Linked DNA regions of Canis lupus familiaris. The protein of the gene in region 1 purifies or fractionates together with the protein of each later gene. This does not show direct contact. Links are inferred from orthologs where the notes say so. Each region holds a gene or a part of one and is shown in the gene's direction. Other genes may lie near its edges. The genes, in order: CDK5RAP3, PIP4P2, UFM1 and CDKN2A.

What was found.
Region 2: the proteins of CDK5RAP3 (region 1) and PIP4P2 purify together in Homo sapiens (affinity purification with mass spectrometry; 3 studies listed by BioGRID and IntAct, counting the BioPlex papers as one, with this or other methods). This does not show direct contact. The link is inferred for Canis lupus familiaris from reciprocal best matches to the Homo sapiens genes CDK5RAP3 and PIP4P2.
Region 3: the proteins of CDK5RAP3 (region 1) and UFM1 purify together in Homo sapiens (co-immunoprecipitation; 3 studies listed by BioGRID and IntAct, with this or other methods). This does not show direct contact. The link is inferred for Canis lupus familiaris from reciprocal best matches to the Homo sapiens genes CDK5RAP3 and UFM1.
Region 4: the proteins of CDK5RAP3 (region 1) and CDKN2A purify together in Homo sapiens (affinity purification with western blotting; 3 studies listed by BioGRID). This does not show direct contact. The link is inferred for Canis lupus familiaris from reciprocal best matches to the Homo sapiens genes CDK5RAP3 and CDKN2A.

Annotation. Positions count from the first base shown.
Region 1 is NC_049230.1:24,226,340-24,230,470, forward strand, and holds the start of CDK5RAP3 (CDK5 regulatory subunit-associated protein 3), read left to right. Parts: upstream 1-1,272; 5' UTR 1,273-1,379; coding exon 1,380-1,385; intron 1,386-1,613; coding exon 1,614-1,659; intron 1,660-4,131. UniProt on the Homo sapiens protein: Substrate adapter of E3 ligase complexes mediating ufmylation, the covalent attachment of the ubiquitin-like modifier UFM1 to substrate proteins, and which is involved in various processes, such as ribosome recycling and reticulophagy (also called ER-phagy).
Region 2 is NC_049250.1:37,017,120-37,019,511, reverse strand, and holds the end of PIP4P2 (type 2 phosphatidylinositol 4,5-bisphosphate 4-phosphatase), read left to right. Parts: intron 1-313; coding exon 314-457; 3' UTR 458-1,886; downstream 1,887-2,392. UniProt on the Homo sapiens protein: Catalyzes the hydrolysis of phosphatidylinositol-4,5-bisphosphate (PtdIns-4,5-P2) to phosphatidylinositol-4-phosphate (PtdIns-4-P).
Region 3 is NC_049246.1:2,607,848-2,612,155, reverse strand, and holds the start of UFM1 (ubiquitin-fold modifier 1), read left to right. Parts: upstream 1-1,493; 5' UTR 1,494-1,560; coding exon 1,561-1,562; intron 1,563-1,638; coding exon 1,639-1,695; intron 1,696-4,308. UniProt on the Homo sapiens protein: Ubiquitin-like modifier which can be covalently attached via an isopeptide bond to lysine residues of substrate proteins as a monomer or a lysine-linked polymer.
Region 4 is NC_049232.1:41,340,020-41,344,078, reverse strand, and holds the start of CDKN2A (cyclin-dependent kinase inhibitor 2A), read left to right. Parts: upstream 1-1,250; 5' UTR 1,251-1,262; coding exon 1,263-1,388; intron 1,389-4,059. UniProt on the Homo sapiens protein: Acts as a negative regulator of the proliferation of normal cells by interacting strongly with CDK4 and CDK6. This inhibits their ability to interact with cyclins D and to phosphorylate the retinoblastoma protein.

The DNA of each region.
Region 1 (4,131 bases):
AATAATAACCTCCTGACAGTCTACCTGTCTCCAGTCTTATCTCTCGCGAATCTATCCTCTGCGGTCACAGGTCCTTCCCCGCTTCAAACCCTTCAAACCCTCCTCTAGTGGTTCCTCCCTGTCTGCAGGGGTGAAGTCCAAGTTCCTTCATGAGGCTCCTCCCTATGATAGGACCTTTCCACCTTTACAGTCTCCTGGCTGGCCACTCCTTGCCCCAAACTTTTTACTGCACAAATGCTGGCCTGCCTTCACTGCCACTGCCACCACCAGCATCATCAGCGTGAGACCCGTCGGTCGGGGTGCCCTCTTGAAATTCTTCCATCATAAAAAATTATTTATTTATTTATTTATTTATTTATTTATTTATTTATTTATTCGTTCATTTAAAGGTTTTATTTATTATTTATTCATGAGAGACACAGAGAGAGAGGCAGAGGGAGAAGCAGGCTCCCTGCAGGGAGCCTGATGCAGGAAGGAGCCCAGGACCCCAGGTTCACTCCCTGAGCCAAAGGCAGATGCTCAGCCACAGAGCCACCAGGGTGCTCCTGCAGCTTTTATTTTATTAATTCATTTATTTTTTAAAAGATTTTATTTATTTATTCATGAGAGATAGAGAGAGAGAGAGGCAGAGACACAGGCAGAAGGAGAAGCAGGCTCCATGCAGGGAGCCCGACGTGGGACTCGATCCTGGGACTCCAGGATCAGGCCCTGGGCCGAAGGCGGCGCTAAACTGCTGAGCCACCAGGGCTGCCCCAGCTCTTCTTTTGAAGACTCGATGTAGGTGTTATCTTGGGGATGCCTCCCCTTCCCCGCCCTAATCTACCCAACAGGTAGCAGGTACTCAACACATGTCTATCAGAGAAACTCAACGGGAAGGCAAAATGTGACAAGTGCCACCCACAAACGACGACGGACGTAAAGCCAGGCAAGGCGGGAAGGAGGCATTTCTAACGGCCTCCGGGTGTCCAGGGTCAGCGCTAGGACCCTCTCGGCGAGCCAGGTAATCCTAGCACCGGAGGCTCGGTGGCCACCTAGCCGCAAGCGGCGGGTGTCAGCTCTCGGGCGTCCCCTGCCGCGAGCTCGCCGCCCCTGCAGCCTTTTCTCGGCGCCCCGCCCCTCTCCAGCCCTGAGCCCGCCTCGCGTCTCCCATTGGCTGACTCCCGTCCTCCCGCCTCTCCGGGCTCAGCCATTCGGAGCCCCGAGGTGGGTGGGGCTTGTGGCCAGGGGAGGAGCGCGCGTCCCGATTGGCTCGGAGGAAGGTGGCTACGTGGCCGGAGGAGGCGCGTTCGGGCCTAGACAGAGGCTCCGCTAGCCCCGCGCGCGATTGGTTGTAGGTGGGGCTGGCGTGGGTCGCCAGCCGGAAGCGGAAGTGGAGGAAGATGCAGGTGTGGGGCCTGGAGCTGGGGGCTGTGGGGGGCTGCTCCGGGGACCCGGGCTGAATTCGGCCCGTCAGTTCCTGGCCCGCGTCGCCGGCCTCTCTCCCGGGCGCGCCCCCCACCCCGGGCCCGTCATTCTGGCCCCGCAGGGCGGCGGTTGGGCCCCTGAACCGAGCGCGCAGGGGGCACGCCCCCTCGGCGCGCTCACGCCCCGTTCCCCGGCGTGTTTCCCTCCAGGACCATCAGCACGTGCCCATCGACATCCAGACCAGCAAGCTGCTCGGTAGGAGGGGACGCCCCGCGCAACCGGCTGCCAGGGGGAGGCCCTGCCCTTTGCTGCCTGTCGCCAACAGCTGGGAGCCCCGATGCCCCAAGGCCCCTGCTGAGGCGCTGACCACTCGCGGTGATCTGCTCCCAGCCGCGTCTGCCTGCCGCGCTCGGAGGAGCGGGAAGGAACCGTACATAGTCTGTACTTGAACCTTCGGCTTCCACCGTATAGCATCATGACACGTGCGGTCAATCATCAGGCCCAGATTAGTGGCTTACTGTAAAGACGGTCAGCTACTAAGTGGCAGATAGGAAGTTAGAGTTCGAGTCTGTCGGACTCCAATGTCTATGCTTTTTGTATAGAAAAAACTTCCCTCCTTTTAAAATAAATTATTTATTCATGAGAGACACAGAGAGCCGTGGAGACACAGGCAGAGGGAGAAGCAGGCTCCCGGTAGGGAGCCGGATGTGGGACTCGATCCCAGGACCCCAGGATCATGTCCTGAGCTGAAGACAGATGCTCAACCACTGAGCCACCCAGGCACACCGCCCCCCCCTTTTTTTTTAAAGAGAAAAGCTTCCATCTTCCCCTGATTTTAGGAGGAAGAGGGACATAGACCCAATTGGGAACAAAGACCTTTTAGTGGGCAGGCCACCTTCCTGCTGTCTATATCTGATCTAAATACCTCCTCAGTTCAGAGCCAGGGAAGGACCTCCTCATATATGACCCTTCTAGGCAAGTGCACTACTCCTGGATTGTAAAATGCTAATTGCATTAATGGATTTGATGTCAGTTTTGTCATTAAGATGACATCTGACTAGGACAGGCTGGGTGGCTCCGCGGTTTAGCGCCGCCTTCAGCCCAGGGCCTGATCCTGGAGTCCGGGGATCGAGTCCCACATCGGGATCCCTGCATGGAGCCTACTTCTCCCTCTGCCTGTGTCTCCCTGCCTCTCTGTCTCTCATGAATAAATAAGATCCTTAAAAAAAAATGACATCTGACTACCTCATCCCCTTCTAGTTTTATTGTATCTACAGAGTTTTTCTTTTTGAAGGTTTCAGAGGAATACAGCGAGGGGATATAGCTGAAAACTAGTGTGAGAGCACAGTGTTTGATCAGTTGGCAGGTATGTTAACAAGGGCAGGGTTCTCAGTTCACTACTGTGGACTATTTAGTGAGTTCTATGCAGTGGCCACGTAATAGAGCTTTTTTTTTAAATTTTTAAAAAGATTTATTTATTCATGAGAGACACAGAGAGAGAGAGAGAGAGGCAGAGACACAGACAGAGGGAGAAGTAAGCTCCATGCAGCAAGCCCGACTTCGGACTCAATCCCAGGATTCCAGGATCATGCCCTGAGCCAAAGGCAGGCACTAAACCGCTGAGCCACCCAGGCTGCCCTGGAGCTTCTTTTTTTAAATATATTTTTATTTATTTATGTATTCAAGAGAGAGAGAGGCAGTCTCCTTGTGGGAAGCCCGATGCAGGCAATCCCAGGACCCCAGGATCAGGCCCTGAGCCAAAGGCAGAAGCTCAACCACTGAGCCACCCAGGTGTCCCCATAACGGAGAAAAATTCAGATTTGTCCCAGTTCTTCAGCATTTGTGCACTCTTGGTGCATGAACTTGTCATTGGCTGTGAAAAGGACCAGGAAAACAACAACCATTCGTTGAGTCTTTGCTCTACCAGGTGCTGTTTTAGGCACTTGACATTGCAAAAATGAGCATATTTTACTTGGATTTATTGAGTCCTTGTCATATGCCAGGCACAGTACTCCATTCTCTCTTGTGTTCAATATCTTATCTCCATTTTATATGTGGGGAAACTTGACGCACAGAATGGTTGAGAGACTTAAAGTTGATAATTAGGGGCGCCTCGGTGGCTCAGTCAGTTAAGGGTCTTGATTTCGGCTCAGGTCATGGTCTCTGGGTTGTGGGATTAAGCCCCATGTTGGGCTCTGTGCTCAGTGGGGAGTCTGCCTAAGGTTCTCTCTCCTTCTACCCCCCCTCCCCATGCTCACATGCTCTCTCTTTCTCTCTCTCAAATAAATCAGTCTTAAAAAAAGGGGGTGGGGGTAATAATTAGAAACCAGGACCATCTGACCACAAAACCTAGCTCTTAGCTGTCTCCTACTGAGGAAACATGCATGGCTCTCATCCACCCACACCCTCTCCTAAAAACAGATCTGGGCCCAGAGTCCAGGAGGTCAGTCACGTTGGTGTTCTTGTGGTGCCAGGCAGTTCTTCACTGTTGAGAGTACCAGTGTTACCTAGTCCTTAGGGCGCTGCAGGTATTAGGGGCTTTACAGTTGTTCATTCATCCGGTACTTGGCATAATCATCTTGTATTTTCCATTGTCATGGTTAATCCCAGCCCTGAGGAAGTGGAAGTTGAAAGCATCCTCTGTCAGTAAGAAAGATATAATTACCCATGGAAGCAAAAATATTATGGAGAATTTAGAGTGGTCAAAAGTGGCACTTTGATGTCAGG
Region 2 (2,392 bases), on another chromosome or scaffold:
ACACTCCTCTTGTGTCATACAACACTAAGGAGTTTCGATGACAGGTTTACTTACTTATAGAAACACCATGTTCAAGTGGGCTTTTTTTTTTTTTTTTGCATAAAATTCATAGTTAATATAACCGGCAATATTGTCTTACTAAATTTGACTCTGTCAGTGATAGTCCACAAATGCATCAACTCCTATTTCATAGGGACATTGTGGCCTTAGGGATGTATTTCCTAAAAATCACATATAAGCCAACACAAGCTCTTTAAATAAACCTTTGGTTAAAGTTTTTAATCTTTTGTTATTATATTGCTTTTTATTTTAGGTTGGCACCCAAGATTTTGCAAGGCGATTTCATGCAACCTATGTTTCTTGGGCAATTGCTTATCTCTTAGGTTTGATTTGCCTTATCCGAGCTTGCTATTGGGGAGCCATACGAGTGAGTTACCCAGAACATAGTTTTGCATAAGCTTGCTTGTAACTTGGTGATGCAGGTGAGAGTATCTGGCAGTTCTTGATAAGCTACTCTGGGCATCTTTGAGTCATTCATCCTAATGGATTCCATTCTGGTTTCTGTATAAAGTTCCAAGACTTTGGGAGTGTTTTATGAACAAATGCTCATTGCACTACATTATATGCAAACAGTTTGTTTTGCTGCTAGGTTTTCAAAGCTCTGAATAATAAAACTGTGTCTTCATGTTCTTTTACATCTCTTAAAGATATTTTGGATTTGCCAAACATTACATGTAACATCACCTTTCCATTATTGTTTTTAAATCAGTTCCATTACTTGCTGATCTGTGAGTATTCCCAAGGAGTATTTATAAATATTTCTACAATAGCTTCACATTTATACTCACATTTTAGTTAAACAGTATCAAAATTGCTCGCTTTAAAATCTAAGCAATATGCATTTTGCTTGAACTGCTTACTGTAACTTTAACCTAAGATCATAGTGACCTTATTCAGGAAAAAAAAAAAAATTGAGTGTACCTTCAAAGACTTGACATTCTTGTCAGATAAAAACCATTTCTAGATACTGTATGCTTGTTTTTTGTTGTTTGTAGAAAGATACAATATTTTGGTAGTAATTTAAAATACAAGAATGAAAATATTTATTTGTCCACAGTTGGAGATAATGTTGGATAAATGTTTTTTCTCAAAGATCACAGGACTTTTGTCTTTCATTTTTGTCTGCTTTTTTATTTACTAATTTTAGAAGTTCTGGTCTAGATTTATGAAATTTAATGTTAATCAGCTGTATGTATTCCTTTATAGATGTTGGAGGAAGTATTTCACATAACATGTTTTATAATAACCATTTGAACAAAGATATATTTACCTTAAGTTGCCCCCCTTTACATTGGATCATGGTGAATTTTCCTTATTGGGCTAATTATGGACTACTTATATGAGAAGAGAGCCTGTGACATTTTACACTAGCTAAAATGTTGAGATTAGAGGTAGTTATTCTTATCATTCTTCTCAAATATAGTCTGGTCTGATAGTTACCCAACTTATTCAAGAAGGTAGATCACAGACAAAAAACAACATAGTTTTCTAAGAATTCACTAAGATTTAAGGAATCAGCTCTCGCACTGCCCATCTTTGCAGTTTTGGAAAAGAAATTGCTTAATTGAGAAATAATGTTCTAAAGCCTTTAATATAGTAGAATTAAGATAAGGGGATAATATGAGTAAATTAATTGGCTATTCCAGAGATAAGAATAATAATTTAAATATTTATGTTCCTGACTAGTATAAAAATGTACTCATCAGAGAATTTGGAGCAAAATATGTGTAAACTTTAAAGAGTAAATGATAAATGTTTAAATGCAGTAGCTCAGGATTATATGTACCTTTGAAAATACGCTAATAAAGATTATTGTTCAAAAATTACCTTGTTATATTTCCATTTTTTAAAAATAAAATGGTGTTTCCAAAATTGCCTTGAGTTATTACTCTAAAAGGAGTTTTCGTGTTTAAGAACATATGTAATATTTCTTTATATAATATTCACTTATTTTTTTTCTAGTATTTTCCTGCTTTCATTTTAGAAATACAGATTTTAAATCCATTAGTAATACATTTGATGTAAGGTATGAAATAAGAATCTAATTTATTTCTTAATGGCTAACTAGTTGTAACAGCAAACCCACATTAAATTATATGCTGCATGATCTTTTTCCTTTTGGACTATAATTCCGTGATAGTAGGAACTTGGGTGGCCTTTCTCACTGCTTTATCTTCAGCATTTAGAACAGCACCTAGTGCATTTGTATTCAGTAGATATTTGTTGCATGAATGAATAAATGATGGATGAATTGGTATGTTAAAATTTTATCCCTTGGGTTTAGTCTTTATATTTTGTTACAGAATATATAAGTGAATATCCATATAATCTT
Region 3 (4,308 bases), on another chromosome or scaffold:
TAAAATTATAACACATTGAAATAAAACTCCCACTAAGAATTCTTATCGGAAAAAAAAAAAAAAATCAGGTGCCATGCATCATACTGAAGCCTTTCTTTCCTAAGTCAGAGTCTGCATTCTCTCCCCGGGGAGCTGTCGCCACAGAACAGCACTGACACAAAATTACGGAAATTGGTCTTTCACATTCCTCCTGCAGCTCTTTCCCTATTCCTCTTAGACATCTCTCCTTAGAAATCTTAACATAATAGCCTAAAGATTATCTAGATTTCCTCAGTATTTTAGTACCTACTTGTTTCCTATCTTATAATTCATTGCAATACTTCTTAAAAAGGGAATTACAGACATTGGAGAGGGATGTTTATTTTTGCGAACACAGATGTTTACATTTGTAGTAGACTTCAGAGGGCATATACGGTCTATCTTCACTATACAAGAACTTGTTAGACCATGGAGGGTTGGCATCTACCCTCTTACCCATTCTAGCATCCGCAGCACTGAACTTTACTAGAAAGGATTCAAAGTTTGTTATTAAATTGAATAGATGTGCTCATGATCGGCGCCCCAGCCCCAGCTCCCTGGTGCAATACTATTAGACCACACAACAAACTAGTGAAATCCCGCTCACGGATTGCTCTTTCTCTTAAAGATTTTACTTATTTATTCGTGAGGGTCGTGCACAGCGAGGGAGGCGGAGACACAGAGGGAGAGGCAGGCTCCACGCAGGGAGCCCCACGTGGGACTCGATCCCGGGTCTCCAGGGTCACGCCCTGGGCCGAAGGCAGGCGCCAAACCGCTGAGCCACCCAGGCCTCCCTGGATTGCCCTTTCCATGTATATTCCAAGCTCTTCTAGCACAGGGATCTTACCTTTCTCACCAACTTTATTCCTCTGTCGTCTGTTGAAACTTGACATCAGTATTGCCTAGCGTTAAGGAAAAAAATGTTGAAATGCAAGATACAACAGGATTGCATTGCTGGAAAGACAGAAGAATGCTAATACTAAAGAGAGGCGAAGATTCCAGCTTCTTGAACTCAACACTCCAGGATTTCGGCGACCAGGTTGCCCTAGCAACTGCGCGGCAGGCCGGCCCCCCAGCCCCCCGGCCCCCCAGCCCCCAGCCCCGCCCGCGTCCCGCCCGCGTCCCGCCCCTCGCCGCGCCCCGCCGCGCCCCGCCGCGCCCCGCCGCGCCCGCCTACTCTGTGCCCTCACTTCCGCCCCAAGCTGCCCGCTGGGACCTAGCGTCCCGCCGTCTCTTCCCACATTTGTATTGCCTGACTGGAAATACGGCAGGAAATAACCGCAGTTCGAAAAATATTCCTCCATACGATCCATGCTCTAGTCTCAGAACTTTAAATGCTAAATGAGTAGCTCTTTGCAACACGGAGGCTCCGCCCAGCACAAGCAACCGAAGCCGATTTTCAGGCAGTGCCTCAGACAACACAAGCTTTGGAGGCCCCCGGGTTGCGGAGGGAGACGTGGGCCTGGGGCGGGGGGGCGGGGGTGGCGCGGCCCCGGGCGAGCAGGCGGCGTCGGCGGGGGTGTCGGTCCGCAGGGCTCCACGATGTGAGTGTGTGCTGACCCCAACCTCAACCCCTGGCCCTGCTGCACGGCTTTAACTCACTCTGGCTTCCCTCCTCAGGTCGAAGGTTTCCTTTAAGATCACGCTGACGTCGGACCCGCGGCTGCCTTACAAAGTGTGAGTAGCGGGCGGCGGTGGGCCTTGCGGGCTGCGGGAGGAGAGGCGGTGACCAGGCTGGCCTCCGGGCGCTCTCCCACCCCAGCAGGCTGCATCCCGTCCCTTCCCTTCCCCCTTGCCCTTCCTGGAGCTTCCCCCCACCCCAGCAGTGGAGACGGAGACGCAGACGCGAGGGAGCAGGGACGGGACGGGACGGGACGGGAACGCCGCGGCTGCTAGCCGACCGGCCCGCGGGGCTCCCGGGGCGGGGGTGGAGGGTGGAGGGTGGAGGGTGGAGCGGGGGGACGTGTGGCAGGGCTCTAATGATTTGCGAGGGTCCGCGAACAGTCCCTGTCTGCTCTGATTGGAAAGGCGCTTTGCTGCTTTGACCAGCTGCTAACGGGAAGTAAGGGAAGACAGCCCCGTCCAGGTTCTGAAATTACTGGAACGTGGAGTACGGTCAGGCTTCTGGTTCCTGTGCAAGTGACTCAACAGCCGGGCGTCACAAAGTACTGGTCCTCAAATCATACATTTTCTATGTTGGGGTTTAATAAAGAGTGGTAAGTGGGAATAGGGAGTGCAGAAATAGGGCACGCGAGGCCCTAGTTTTCTCCTTCAGCAGTTGAGTGATGGGTTGGCACAGGTTTAACAACATACTCACCCGGAATCTTCTGTGATTTTAGACAAACGATTATTGAGGTTACTGCTGCCGGAAGTCGCATAAGATGCGGTAAAGGGCAAGACTTCAGTAGGATTTTATTCATAGTTAATATAACTAGTATCAAGGCCTACCTAACGAAACTCTTAACAGTTGTCATCAGCCTCAGTGACTTAACTATCTGACCCATGCAACTCCCAGCCTTAAGCTTTCTCGATCATTCGTCTCCAGGTAAATCTTTCATCTTATCTCACATAGTTATGGTTGCAGCCTAGAACCGTAAGGCCTTCAGTAACTGCTCCAGCTAAGGTGTCATTTTCAAGTATTCCCTTGTGGATGACCTTGTTTTCTTTTTAAATTTGAGTTACTCTAATATTTTTTCTGTAAAAAAAAAAAAAAAAAAGTTCTTTGCTTTTCTTTTTTTTTTTTTTAAGATTTTATTTATTCATGAGAGACACCGAGACAGAGAGAGAGGCACAGACACAGGCAGAGGGAGAAGCAGGCTCCATGCAGGGAGCCCGACGTGGGACTTGATCCCCGGTCTTAGGAATCACACCCTGGGCTGAAGGCGGCACTAAACCACTGAGCCACCTGGGCTGCCCAAAATGTTTCTTTTAATTCATTGATCACATCTCTTTTTAAATCAATCATTACCCTCTCTCCACTGCTTTACCCCATTCCTTTTCTTCTTACTCTCTTAGAGTCCATGGTCCAGTTACTCTCTGGTGGGTCCACTCACCTCAACTCTGGTGTTCTTTCCCCAGTATGTTTTGCTTGGTGAAACACCACCTCTGAACTCAGCCACTATGTTCCCTACATAACTAAAGGTCTTTACTGAAAATTATAACTAGACTGATGGATTTTTTTAAAAGATTTTATTTATTTATTCATGAGAGAGAGAAAGAGGCAGAGACACAGGCAGAGGGAGAAGCAGACTCCCTATGGGGAGCCCGATGTGGGACTCGATCCCAGGACCCTGGGATCATGCCCTGAGTCAAAGGTAGGCACTCAACCACTGAGCCACCCAGGCGTAGGATCCTAGGTTGATGGATCTTGTATAAAATTCATAACTGTGCTCAATAGTACCTAACACTATGTTACAGTTCCCAAGTTTTCCTATCTCTTTATTCTCTAAAAGGATTTTTTAAAAATCTATTCATACTTTCTACAATGCTTTTTTTTTCTCTTTTGCTGAAGCCATCAGAGGAAGATGCATCTTTCCATCACCACATCTGTAAAGCTATTGTTATGTTTATAAACCCATAATTTCTTTTCATCATCCTTTTACAAAGGAACACATGATTTTATTCCTATGAAAAACCAAGCTGTGCCACTTGGGCACTTGTGTCTTCTCAAGCTTAGAGTAGATGGGAGTCCAGAGATCCCTCTCTCCTCACCACCTTTGATTTCTCCCTTTATAGGATTATTCTCATCAGTGTGTAGATAATTCTCTAGAACAGGAGGGAAAAAGGACAGAGTAGGACAGCAGTAGTATCTGTAAGAGTGCCCAGAACTTTTTACTAGTTCAATTAATATTCATGACTGAATGAATTTAATAGACATACCTACTGTTTGGTGTGTATGTATAATCTGTATATGGATATGTGTGTATATAAAATATGTATGACATGTGCATGTATGTAAAGTTAATTCTGCTATACTTCGTATTCGAAGTAAGTGGTAACTAGTACTTGGGTACTGTTAAATGCCATTCGTAAAATTTGCGGGAGAATTTGCTTTGGCTTTTTAATGTCACTTGTCACTTGCAAAGCCAGTAAATAAATGCTTTGATAGATAATTGTGCTTTGAGTTTCTAACATTACTAATAGTTGAATTCTAAAAAGGATTTTTTTTTAAGATTTTTTTTTTTTAAGATTTTATTTATTTATTCACAAAGATACACAAAGAGAGAGAGAGGCAGAGGCAGAGGCAGAGGGAGAAGCAGGCACCACACAGGGAGCCCGACGTGGGACTCG
Region 4 (4,059 bases), on another chromosome or scaffold:
GGGGGGGGGGGGCGATGGGCGGCGGGGGGAGGGGGGTGATGGGAGACCGGGAAGGGGCGGGGGGGGGCGATGGGCGGCGGGGAAGGGCGGGGGGGTGGTAATGGGCGACGGGAAAGGGGCGGGGGGGCGATGGGCGGCGGGGGGAGGGGGTGATGGGCGACGGGGAAGGGCGGGGGGGGGTGGTAATGGGCGACGGGAAAGGGGCGGGGGGGGGGCGATGGACGGCGGGGGGAGGGGGTGATGGGCGACGGGGAAGGGGCGGGGGGAGGTCGATGGGCGGCGGGGGGAGGGGCGGGGCGCCATGGGCGGCGGGGGGAGGGGGCGACGGGCGACGGGGGAGGGGCGGGGGGGCGATGGGCGAGGGGGGCGCAATGGGCGGCGGGGGGAGGAGCGATGGGCGGCGGGGGGAGGGGCGGGGCGCAATGGGCGGCTGGGGGAGGGGCGACGGGGGAGGGGCGGGGGGGGCGACGGGCGACGGGGGAGGGGCGACAGGGGCGCAAGGGGCGGCGGGGGGAGGGGTGATGGGCGGTGGGGGGGGCGGGGCGCAATGGGCGGCCGGGGGAGGGGGCGACGGGCGACGGGGGAGGGGCGGGGGGCGACGGGCGACGGGGGAGGGGCGACAGGGGCGCAATGGGCGGCGGGGGGAGGGGTGATGGGCGGCGGGGGGGGGCGGGGCGCAATGGGCGGCCGGGGGAGGGGGCGACGGGCGACGGGGGAGGGGCGGGGGGCGACGGGCGACGGGGGAGGGGCGACAGGGGCGCAATGGGCGGCGGGGGGGGGGGCGGGGCGCCATGGGCGGCCGGGGGAGGGGGCGACGGGCGACGGGGGAGGGGCGGGGGGCGATGGGCAGCGGGGGGAGGGGCGGGGGGGCAGCGCCCGGCTCGGGGAGCGCAGGCGGGGCGGAGCGCGGAGCGACGCGGCGCGAGGGCAGCTGTGGGGCGGCCCGCGGCTCCCTGCCCCCGCGGCTCGGTCGTGCTCCCCTGGGGGAGCCGTGGAACCGAGACGGCAGAGGCCACGCGTGGGGCGACTCGTTTCGCAGCGAGTTGAGAGCGGAGGGCGCTCTCCTGGATTGAAAGAGTCGGGTTGGAGGAGTCGAGGGGCCGAGTCTGGGGGCCGCTTCCGCCGGCCCCGGAGGAGGGGAGAGGAGGGGAGAGGAGGGGCGGGCGGGTCACGAGAGGCTGGGGCGGGCCGCTGGCGCCCGACGGCCGCGGCGGGAAGGAGGGAGGGAGGGAGGGAGCCGGGGGCCCGCGCTCGGGAGCAGCATGGAGCCCTTCGCCGACTGGCTGGCCTCGGCGGCAGCCCGGGGCCGCGCGGACGAGGTGCGGGCGCTGCTCGCGGCGGGGGCGCCTCCCGACGCGCCGAACCGCCTGGGTCGGAGCCCGATTCAGGTGGGTGAGCGCGCGGGCGGCGGGAGGAGGCGGTGGCGGACGACTGTGCGGCACAGGGTTTGCAAGGGAGTCCTCCAGGTCTGCCGGTCGCTGGTCGGGGACGGGGAGACTCCCTGGTGAGGTCCCAGGTGGTGTCTGGAGCCCGGAGCTTCCAGTGTCCGCGTCCTGGGGGCAGAGGAAGCCGCGGGGGGGGGGGGGGGGGGGGGGGGAGGGGAGATGGGGAGGCACGTGCAGGGCAGATGTCTGGTCTGAGATCGGGAGGGGGGAGCCTGTTCGTGTTAATATAGTCCGAGGTGTGCTCTCCATCTGATACACAGTTACGAACGTAAAGCAAGATTTTAAAGAAATGGAAGATTTGTTGGGCCCACTAGGCCGGAACTCATAGACCCCTGAAGGGAGCGGATCATCTTCTGTGCTAGCGGCGATTGTACTGGAAACCTTCTGCTGTGTAAATTGAATAAATATTCATTGAAATTGTTCAGAAGCAACTGCATGTTGTGTTTATTTTTACTTTAACCGTGTATGGCACATCTGTGCTTGTGAGAATTTAGGGAATACAGACAGACATAGATGAAGAAAAACAGTGTGATCTTGCCTGAGATAATGCCGTCGATTTAGCTACCATTTTGAGGGTACCTCCTATTATTTTTGTTACTTTTGACTTGCTATAGATTAACGCAGTTGAGAGAGTTTTGGATTCCTCACGGTTCAGAAATGTGGTTTCTTCCCTCCTGACTCCGGTTGTGGGTGGGGGTGGGGGTGCTGGGTATTTGCTGTTGTTGTTTGCCTTCACTAAATTCCTAAATCCAGGCTAAAAAAAAAAAAAAAAAAAACCCAAAACCAAAAAACCCTATTTCTCCCTGTTCGTCACCACCCTAGTTTTATTCCCAGTGTTGACAATGATTTTGGATTGTGAAAAATAAAATGTATGTGAAACAAAGGCTCACTGCACAAATTCAAGCATAACAAGACAAAGGAAAGTAACTGTACCTGCAATTGCACAGATTTCACAAGTCATCTTCCTTTCCTGAAACAATGCTACATAGGATAAATTTTATATACCTTAACATACATATATAAAAATAAAAACAAAATGCCTTAAAACTTGAGATTATTTGGGATTTTAAGTGTGAAGGGATTTTGAGAGTAGAGAGGTTGTGTGATGGTAGAAGAAAACCATGAGTCCTTTAAAAAGAATGCATGCATGATTTCTCATTTCTCTAAGATTTTGCTCAGAGACTGAGTGTGGCCTTGAAGTTTGGAATATGTTTGAAGAGACTTTGTTTAAATACAAAAAGAAAAAAGTTGGATAATTAGTTTTAACAATTTTTTTAATAGGGAAAATAAGAACATAGAGAAAAGAGTGCATGGTTTTGGTTTAGAACCCTAACCAACCTTGTGTTTAATACAAAACTAATTAGTTTATAGAAAATTATAATTACTTTAAATATCTTATCAAATGGATTTAAGCACTCTACAAATATTCATTTAATCGATTCTTTTTCTTTCAGCTTTGGATTGCTATTTAGATTTAAGTATTTAAGTGTTAGGTTTCTTTCATACTTTAATACTGCAAAATATAATGAAAACCTTTAAAATCAGTTAAGTGTATGTTACCTTACATGGGAAAAGAGGCTTCGCAGATGTTCCTTGGCTTAGAGAAATAATTATTTACGTTTAATGCAGAATGTAATTAAAAATAATTCCTTTTTATACAGTCACTATAAGTCTAGCTAATATAATCAAATAGTGGTTAGCCTAAAAGAAAATTATCTACCACTGCCATCTGCCATGTAACACTCAAATTGTAAGGTTGCTGTGATTGTAGATACTATTTAAAAAATCCTCTTTGGTAATGACTTTGTTTCAAAGACGATTTATCAAACAAATGAAGGGAGCACCTCCTGTTTAATGAACTCTCAGAGTATATAAACTTGGGAAGTTTCTTAGTTTCCTATTTCTGCTGTAACAAATTACCACAACTTTTGTGTCTCAAACCAACATAAATTTATTATCTTATAGTTCTGGAGGTTGAAGTCTAAAATGGATCCACAATGCTGCATTTCTTTTGGAAGTTCTAGGGGAGAATCTGTTTCCAACTTCTAATGGCCATCAACATTCCTGTGCTCATGGTCCCTGCATCTTCTTCTCTCTGACCTCCATTCTTAGATCTTTCTTCTGTAACCTCATAAGGGAATTTGTGATTACATTGGGCCCATCCTGATAATCCATGTTAATCTCTCTCAAAATCCTTAATTTAATCACATCTGGGAAGCCTCTCTTCCCATGTAAGGTATTATATTCACAGCTTTCAAGTGTTAGGTAGTACACATCTTTGGGGACATTCTTCAGCTCATTATGGGAAGGAATTTGGGGGCTGGTTAGAGAACCCTCATTTTATACTTAGAGTGAATTTTAACATTCTGGTAGGCTAAGTGTATATTAAAAGTTTTTTAGGAATTAAAGATTTGTTGTTGTTTTCACTTTCACTTTTTAACAATTATTATGTCCTGGGCTTGGATATACAACAGAAAACCATACAAAATCTCTGGGCCTTATATAATTTTGTATCAAAATGGGTGGGGGGGCTATAGGAGGTTAGGCTATAGTTCAAGCCAGTTCGTCTCTCACTCTTTTGCTATTGTCATGCCTCTGACAGACAATAGGGTGT